2 linked regions of the Callithrix jacchus genome follow. The protein of the gene in region 1 interacts with the protein of each later gene in a biochemical or structural test. Links are inferred from orthologs where the notes say so. Each region holds a gene or a part of one and is shown in the gene's direction. Other genes may lie near its edges.

Region 1 (4,565 bases):
GTCATGTGAGGAAGTTTACCCTTCTTTGTTATATTATGTCTTGTGCACCACTTCTCAAGGTTAAGGACATGGCCAGATCAACTCAAACTTACAATTTGTCTCAGAAATGGGTGGTCTTGGGGACCCATTGAGGAAATTCCCCGGGGTTGAGGGCTGGCCCTTGGAAGGAGACAGAGGAGAGAAGAGATGATAACCATTAGACCAGCTGGAAAATGCTACTCAGGGCTTAAAAAAAAATGAAAACAAAACCACAAAACCTCACCTATGTCCATTGTTTTTTGTATGCGTATTCTCAAGTTTCATTTTTAATTTGATACTGAAAACTACCTTGTGAAGGTGGGGAGCAGGTATTGTTGACCCTACAGGCTCAGAGAGTAACTTGGCCAGAGTCACAAAGGTTGTAAGTTGCTGAATGGGAGCCTGAAGTCCAAGTCTTTGACTTTAAATCCAGTGCTCTGTCCAGAGCCCCGCTGCTGCCTCCATTGGCAGCGGAAGCTGTCAGTCTGCTGCCCCCTGCCCAGTTCAGACAGGGTGGCTGAAAGTGGATCAAAGCATGGAAAAAGGGAAGAAGGGTGAACTGGAAGGGAACAGAAAGTATTTGTCATTAAGGGGAAAGCAGAAGGAAGAAAGAAAGGCATGAACCCTGTGGCCTGGCCTTGAAGCACAATGTTCCAGGGGGGCGGGGAAGCCGCTGTCCCCACCCCTTCATGGGGGCCTGAGCAGATCCAAAGCTGCCTGGCCTTCCCTGGAGGGTCGCATCCAAACATGGATGGAAAGGCAGCAAAAATAGACCCATGTCATTTTTGGGAGAAGGCAAAAGAGAGAAAAGAGAACTACCATGGAAAAGTAGAAAAAGAGGAAGGGAGGTAATCTAGACACACAGATCGGAAATGTGGAGCAAAACAGATTTTTTTTTTGAGATGGGGTCTCTCCCTGTCGCCCAGGCTGGAGTGTAATGGGGTGATCTTGGTTCACTGCAACCTCTGCCTCATGGGTTCAAGTGATTCTCCTGCCTAGGCCTCCCAATTAACTGGGATTGCAGACACATGCCACTGTGCCTGGCAAATTTTTGTATTTTTAGTGGAGATGGGGTTTCATCATGTTGGCCAGACTGGTCTTGAACTCCTGACCTCAAGTGATTTGCCTGCCTCAGCCTCCCAAAGTGCTGGGATTACAGGTGTGAGCCACCAAGCTAGGTGCAAAACAAATTCTTATGAAATAAATTTAATTTGGATGTGCTTAAGCTGTGGTGTCAACTTGCATAGAATCCCCAGGCTTGTTAGATTTTTCTGGTGCCTCCAGCCCTTAGATCTCTCCTTTGTTCCTCAGCTACTACTCCGCTCCTTCAACATTGTTAGCCACTTATCCTGCTTCTCAGCCCACTCCTTCTCCAGCCCCTCTTTACTCCATCTCCACAACGTCTGTTGGAATGGAACAGCCTGGGATGCTGGCTGTTTGGCCCCCATATGGGTGTCTCCATATTTCCAGTAGGATTCAGAGAATTGGAACATTTCTTGGGCTGAAGCAGAGAAAGAGATGCGATTTTGAAACTGGCTTTGTGAGTCACTGTGAGCTTCAAGCACCCTCCCACTTGAGGTAAGTTTCACTAGTTTGGCTGTGGGAACCAGCAGACCAGCTCCAGGCGCTGGGGCTTTCTCAGTGGCCTTGTCAGCTCACAGCAGGTGTTCACGCCTCGAATTGAGGAAACTGGCTGGACTGCTCCCCATCGTCCTCTTGCTGACTGGGGGCTGCTGAGCCCGTGCACAGCACAGTGTCTGGTGGGGTGGAGGGGCTGGCCTGGTCCCGCTGTCCTGTGGGGATGCTGGGGCAAGTGGTCACCCTCACACTCCTCCTGCTCCTCAAGGGGTATCAGGGAAAAGGTAAGGAGGTCCTACCTTGCATGGGGTGGGGGACTCACATGATGGGCTAAGGACTGTGCCCCTCGGAGAGATCAGAGCCAGAGCCACTGCTTGTGCCACATACACAGTCATCTGGAACTGTGACTCCGAGCAGCTCCTGACAGCTCTGACATTCTAAATCAGACAGGACAGGCTGGCAGTACACTGGCAAATCTGTGAGAGGGGCATCCTGCCCTGCTGCCTGCAATCCGGGAAGTCTTGGGTAAGGAGATTCCTTCCCACTGGCTTCGATTTACCTTTCCATGTAGTGGGGAGACAAGCCTTCTTCCAGTTGCCTATAAAGATGAAGAAAATTGCATCCTCCAATTGTGGCATGAGAGAGGAGAAGCAGTTCCAAGGAAGCTGTGTGGTTCTGGAGCTCAGAGACAGACAGATGGATCCCTGAGGCAGGAGAGCTGAGCCCGAGGAGGAGAGGGTGAGGCCAGCAGCCAGGAAGAAGCTGCATGGCCTGGTCCTTCAGCTCCCCGGTTTCTTCAGCCACCTAGATGCCACAGGAGCCTGGAAATTATTAGGGACTTGTTTGCTTGGGGCGGAGAAGGAGACAATATGAGGAAGCTCCACAGCAAACCTAAAGCTGTCAGCCAGGCACGGAGCCATCGAATGTTTACTCCCGGGGATCCCAGCTGAGGGCTGCTCTTCTCTTTCTCCAGCCCTGGAGTCCAGGATGCTCTGAAACCTGAATCCCGCATTTAATTTAATTTATTAATTAATTAATTTATTTTGAGATGGAATCTCCCTCTGTCTCCTAGGCTGGAGTGCAGTGGCATGATCTCGGCTCACTGCAGTCTCCACCTCCTGGGTTCAAGCAATTCTTACACCTCAGCCTCCTGAGTAGCTGGGATTACAGACATGTGCCGCCATGCTTGGCTAATTTTTTTATTTTTAGTAGAGACCAGGTTTCACCATGTTGGCCAGGCTGGTCTTGAACTCCTGACCTCAGGTGATCTGCCTACCTTGGTCTCCCAAATTGCTAGGATTACAGGTGTGAACCACCATGCCCGACTGGGATCTTGCATTTTAGATCAGTGACTCTAAAGGGGTTTCACAGGGGTGGAGAGTGTGGAGTGAGAAGAGGGTACACTCTGGGCACAAAGAGGGGAAACTGAGGCATAGTGTGTGGGTTCAGGGCTGGGTACAATCCCCATATGCAATAAAGTTCCATGCCCAGGTACTCAGTTCACTTACTGAGTCCCTGAGCATTCTTGTGTCCTTCAGGAAGATGTGGTCAAGGCTCAGGTGGACTCGACATTTGTAAGGATACAGGAAGCCTAGGGCAGAGCCTGATGAGAGACAGGGAGCAGGGAGGGAGGTGTGGAGCCTGAAGCTCTTGTGAGTGGGCAGCGGGGACCCAGTGGCCCAGGATTCCGGGCAGGAGAGCTAGGTTGGAATCTGGTCTAAGGAGCCTTGAAAGCAGTTCAGAGAGCTGAAGGAGGACTGATGGGATTGGTGCCTGGCTGTGGGGATGAGCATGACCGAGAAGCTGAGGTTATGAGCCTGTGTGACAGAGGGCAATGCTCCCTCCAGCCCCATTCCCAGGTCTTCAGCGCCATATCTGGGCTTAGCTATGCTGGCCCTTGTAGGGTGAAGCTGGTGAGTAACTCAGGCACAGAGAGGGATGGACTTGGGTCTCCCTGAGGTTCTTCCTCCTCTGTCCTGTGTCTGTGAGGCTGGCCTGGTGTAAGCTGACTGAAGCCTCCCTATTTATTTAATTTTTAAACCTTTTAGTTTGAAATAATTGCGAAGTTCCAGGGAAGCTGCAAAAATAGTTCAAAGGATTCTTGAATTTTTTCACCTAGATTCACCAGGGAACACATTATCATATTTACTTTATTTCTCTTTCTCTAGCTGTATGCGTATGTGTGTATAATAATTTTTGTTGAACCACTTAAGAATAAGTTGTGACTTTATGCCCCTTTGCTCCTAAATATTTTAGCACTTATATCCTATGAACAAAGGCATTCTTTTTTTTTTTTTTTGAGACGGAGTTTCGCTCTTGTTACCCAGGCTGGAGTGCAATGGCGCGATCTCGACTCACCGCAACCTCCGCCTCCTGGGTTCGGGCAACTCTCCTACCTCAGCCTCCTGAGTAGCTGGGATTACAGGCATGCACCACCATGCCCAGCTGATTTTTGTATCTTTATTAGAGATGGGTTTCACCATTACTACAGCACAATTATCAAATTTAGTAAATTTAACGTTAATACCATCAAATATGCCACCCATATTCACCTATTACCCATGGTCCCAAGAATATGCTTTATTTTAGTTTATTTTTTTGCTGACCCAAGATGCAATCAGGATCATGTATCACATTCAGTTGTTATGTTTCTCATGTCCAGTCTGTGACCATACTTCAGCTTTTCTTCATCTTTCATGATACTGCATTCTCGATAGAGGATAAGCCAATTGTTTTGTAGAGGGTTCCTTAATCTGGGTTTGGTGTTCTCTCATATGATTCAGGTTATCATATACATTTTTATTTCATATCATTATCGTTATTATTATTTTTTAGAGACAGAGTCTCGCTCTGTCGCCCAGGCTGGAGTGCAGAGGTCTGATCCCGGCTCACTACAACCTCCACGCACCCCGCCCCCGATCCCCGGTTCAAGCAATTCTCCTGCCTCAGCCTCCTGAGTAGCTGGGACT
Region 2 (4,461 bases), on another chromosome or scaffold:
GCTAACCATTTGCCTGCTCAAAATATGGTGAGTCCAGGGTGGACAACCTTTCAAATCCATAATGTTGGAGTATGCATTCACATATAAGATTAATTTCTCCCTTGATCCAAAGCATGAAAAAGGGTAAGAAGTAGAGTTGGTCAAAAACATGTGAGAAAGAAAGATGATAAGAAAATATCGGCCCAGTTCCCCAGAGCCATCTCCAATATCACCTTGAATGCTTTTTTATTAAATCTTAATGCTGAAAATGACTGTAGGAGATTTATGTTTATACTTTGCATAGTAAGGCTGGGCACTCTTCAATCAAGAAGAAAAGTTGCTACCAGCTATCACTGAAATCTTAGAGGATTTTTCCTAACCCTAGTCGATGAAGAGCAAATATCTGCCTTTGGTGCAAGTCAGCTCTGTACCTGCAATCCATTGGTAAGACATGTGAGGAATTAAGTATTGCTCTCCCTATTGAGCTCCCAGCATTGCCATATTCTCAAAGAACTACACGCTGAAGTTGCAGAAAGCATATAATAGATCACATAGCTTCAGTTATTTTAATTCCAATTTTACAAGTACTTTGCATAATCTAAAGGTACATGTATAAGACCATTCAGCTTCAGCAATAAATTCTTACTCTAGTGAAAATGCAAGAAGTTTTGGGGAAATATTACCTAGCACATTTTGAAATAGAAGCAATGCTTTATTTCAGAGAAGAAAATGGAGGTTGAAAGGTTTTAAAATATTAAAGACAGTTTAGCATCAATCGAAGAAATAACATTGTTTAGAAACAACAGACAATAAAAGTTACAACAAAATTATCAACGCTTGCAAATGATTTAAAACAGATTTTTTGGACAAAATGCTGAAAGGTGGGCCTTATACACCAAAGGGCACATACAAATTTGCATTAAGACAAATCACCAGTTAAATGTTACATTGTCTCATCTAAAGCCCATCAAATACTTAAATCTGGAACATCTTTGGATGTGCATTGTGACTTTTGTATCTCAACTAGCACTTTGGGACCTTGGACAAGGTGTTAGGAAAGAAATCAATATTGGTCAGGACCAAGACTTCTCAAGATGACTGCATGAGGTAGAAGGAAGAAGGAGAAAAAGAACTTGCCCAAAGTTCACTGTTCATCTGCTATGTCTGATTCTGTAGGAGTCTTCATGGCCGTGTTCAGTAATGATTGCATAATGACAGTACTAATAAAACTATTAGTGTTTTGTTCTCAGAGCTTTTGGTCCTTTCATTCTGTCAGTATGTTTCTGCCCTACATGATGGGTCCACATACCGACAGAGACATGTATAACTTGCCTCTATCATCAACTCCTTACCGGCTGGTTGAGCTAAGTTATTCCTTGTGGCCTCTGAGTAATCTGCAAGAACAGAAGCATTACTAAGCATCCCTATCTGCGTGCAAGGGTGTGTGTTGGCAGTACAGCTCAAATCTTGCAAAATCCTTCTTCTAATTTTCCTCCCCTCTGTAAGAACCCTGTGTTGGGGGGCAGGAGATGGAAGCCCTTGGCAAGCTCGATTAAACCAAGCTACTAAATTGCTGAGCTGGTTTTAATTGAAGTGTGAGAAGGAGGTTTAAGGCAAGTAGACAACATCCTGTTGTTTGGGTGCCTCTCTCTTTTTTGCACATCTGGCTGAACTGGGAGTCAGGTGGTTGATCTGTGCCTGGCTGCAGTAGCAGCGGCATCTCCCTTGTACAATCCTCCTCCTCGGCCTGCCCGAGAGTCCACCAGGCCATGGATGCAGTGGCTGTGTATCACGGGAAAATCAGCAGGGAGACCGGCGAGAAGCTCCTGCTCGCCACTGGGCTGGATGGCAGCTATTTGCTGAGGGACAGCGAGAGCGTGCCAGGCGTGTACTGCCTGTGTGTGCTGTGAGTATTCTGTGGCAGGCAGGGGCCTGCTGAGCATGTGGATGGTGGGCACTGGCAGCTGAGGCCAGGGCAGAGGCTGAGGCGGGCAAGGGTGCTGGCGTTAGCAGCTTGCTGAGGCCTTCTTCATGACCCACCCTCAAGTCTAGTCCAGGGCCGTGAGGGAACACACTTTCGCCTGAGTCCCTCGCTGGGGATTTCATTCCCTGGGCCTCCTGCTCTCCAGAAGGCCCTCACCAGGGGCTTTTGGGGCAGCTGCAGAGAATGCCCTTTAGGGTGGTGAAATATGGTCTAAAGTTTACCTTTGCTCCAAGAAAGACCCAGGCTCCCAACTTCCATTTTAACTCCTATCGGGTGGCTCCGTACTCTAGCTCTCTTTAAATGACTTTTGAAGTGTCATCCCAAAGAAAGAGCATGACATTCAGAGAGAGGAGGCAGATTAAGAAACAGTCAATTACTTTAAGAATGCAATGCCAGTTAGGTCAAGATGCTGAGAGAGGAGGGGGATGTGTGAAAGTAAAATCATCTCTCTGGATCTGCTGATGTAGCATTCTTTAGAAAGGTAGTGTCTGTGAGGGGTGGGGCAGGGGATTTCAGAAATAGGATCCTTCTTGATAAACATTAGGACTCACAGTAGTCTTAAAGGGAATGGAGGGAAAACACCCTTGTTATGATTCAGCTTTGCCCTTTGCCTAGGCATGTCTCAGTCTAAGGCTTCATTTTGAATCAAATTCACCTGTGTCGTTGCTCCAGTGCTCCAGAGTCAGGCAGATCTGAGATGTAGTCCTGCGCTAGTCAGATGTTAGTCTTGTGACCTGGGCAAATTAACCTTTCAGTCCCCCAGTTTTCTTATCCATTGAATAATACTAAAGATATATTATTATTATTATATCTCCTCTTTTCAGTTGATTTCTTTTAGGAATCATGGGGGCATTTCTAAGGAAGTACCTAGCTAGCTCAAGCATTATTGTCAGCGGAATAAAAAAATCCATGAAAACAACAACCCTGCATAGTAGGTTCTAGACAGAAACCAAATGAGGTTAAATGCTTGGTAGTAAGTTCAGCATCTGATGATACACTACAAGAGTTTGAAATACCTTATGGGTCAGTGAAGAAAGATGATCCCGATGCTGGTGTTAGAGGATTTTCACTGTATATTGGTTATTAAAAATGGTCAAGCCTTGTTTGTTGCAGCTCTCCTATCATGCTCTAAATACATTTTTCATAAAGGCTTCAAGGGAAATACGTGGAAGCTATTGATTGTCTTGGGCTTGAATCTTTATGTTTTGCTTATATCATTATTGTTTCCATGTGGAACCTAGGGAAGGGCAAAGAAAACCAGCTGGGATTCTTAGGCTCTTTTCTCATTGAAAGAAGGTGCAGTGGGCAGGTGAAAGGTACTGCTTTAGGGAAGCTGACAAAGGAGATAACATGCTCCTTAACCCAAAGGTGAAAAAGAAAGTACAAAACAAGTCTGGGCAGAGGAGGGACAACAGGGTATAGTGAGAGTCAAGATACACCTAAGGCTTCAGCCTCACTGGGCTCCTGGCCATTTCTCAAGCTCCTAAAAAATGCCCCCACTTAGGATTTCTGCACTTATTGTTCACATGTTTGTTCAACTGTCTCCTCCCTCAGAGAGGACTTGCTTGACCACTACCTAGAACAACTGCTCTCTCCCTGTCCCTGATACACTCGCTCCATCTCTACTTTTCTTCAAAGAGCTTTAAACTATCTGATAACTTGCTTACTTACCTACTTATTGCTGGACGCTCCTGCAAAAATATAATCTCCATGAGGGTAGAGACATTGTCTCCATCACCAGGAACACAGAAACACATAATAGGCACTCAGCAAATATTTTTGAATCAACACACTGTCAAGGCAAATTCTGTTCTTTACTGTAAGAAACTGAATGGACATCGATGGGTTAGGGTGTGGACTCTGGGAAAGTCACTCAAATTCTCTGGGTCTCACTTTCCATATTTATAAAACAGGAATAGTATTGTGTATCTTACCTTCTGCAAAAGATTGCCTTCAGTACAATATATAAGACAGAAGGACAACTTTAGCCTTTTGCCTGTGTAGGCCAGAACCACATAAGGAATTAACTTAGGCAGATGAGAAATTCTCAAGCATTTAACTTTTTGCCCAAAGTGAATCTTGCATAAATGCAGTTTTTATGACCCTTAGTTCTCCATGAAAACCTCCCTGTAAAGTAGCAGAAAATACTGGGCAAATTGGGAGTTCCCTTATGGTGTCTTTCAAATGGTACACTGGGGCCTCAAAGTCTTATGAGACTGTTAGAGTGATAGCCAGAATGTGCTGCAGAGGGAAGATACAAGGATACATTGCCTTTTATCAGAGTTTCTCAAGGTTTTTGAATTGAGAGTCCTTTTTGATAAACATAAACATTTCATTTCCTCTTTTTGGTGCTACACTGTAATGATAAAATCAAATTTTGTTTAGAAATAAACCATGTACTAATTTTAAAACAAAACACTTTTGCTTATGATATGCAGTCAAAATAACAATAGAAGTGGTGTCATATGCACATAGACAACAAGGTATAGCTGATAAAC

Evidence for each region.
Region 2: the proteins of CD244 (region 1) and SH2D1A interact in a biophysical measurement, tested with the Homo sapiens proteins (2 studies listed by IntAct). The link is inferred for Callithrix jacchus from reciprocal best matches to the Homo sapiens genes CD244 and SH2D1A.

Annotation. Positions count from the first base shown.
Region 1 is NC_133519.1:20,771,361-20,775,925, reverse strand, and holds the start of CD244 (natural killer cell receptor 2B4), read left to right. Parts: upstream 1-1,629; 5' UTR 1,630-1,819; coding exon 1,820-1,880; intron 1,881-4,565. UniProt on the Homo sapiens protein: Heterophilic receptor of the signaling lymphocytic activation molecule (SLAM) family; its ligand is CD48.
Region 2 is NC_133524.1:120,099,943-120,104,403, forward strand, and holds the start of SH2D1A (SH2 domain-containing protein 1A), read left to right. Parts: upstream 1-1,660; 5' UTR 1,661-1,748; coding exon 1,749-1,885; intron 1,886-4,461.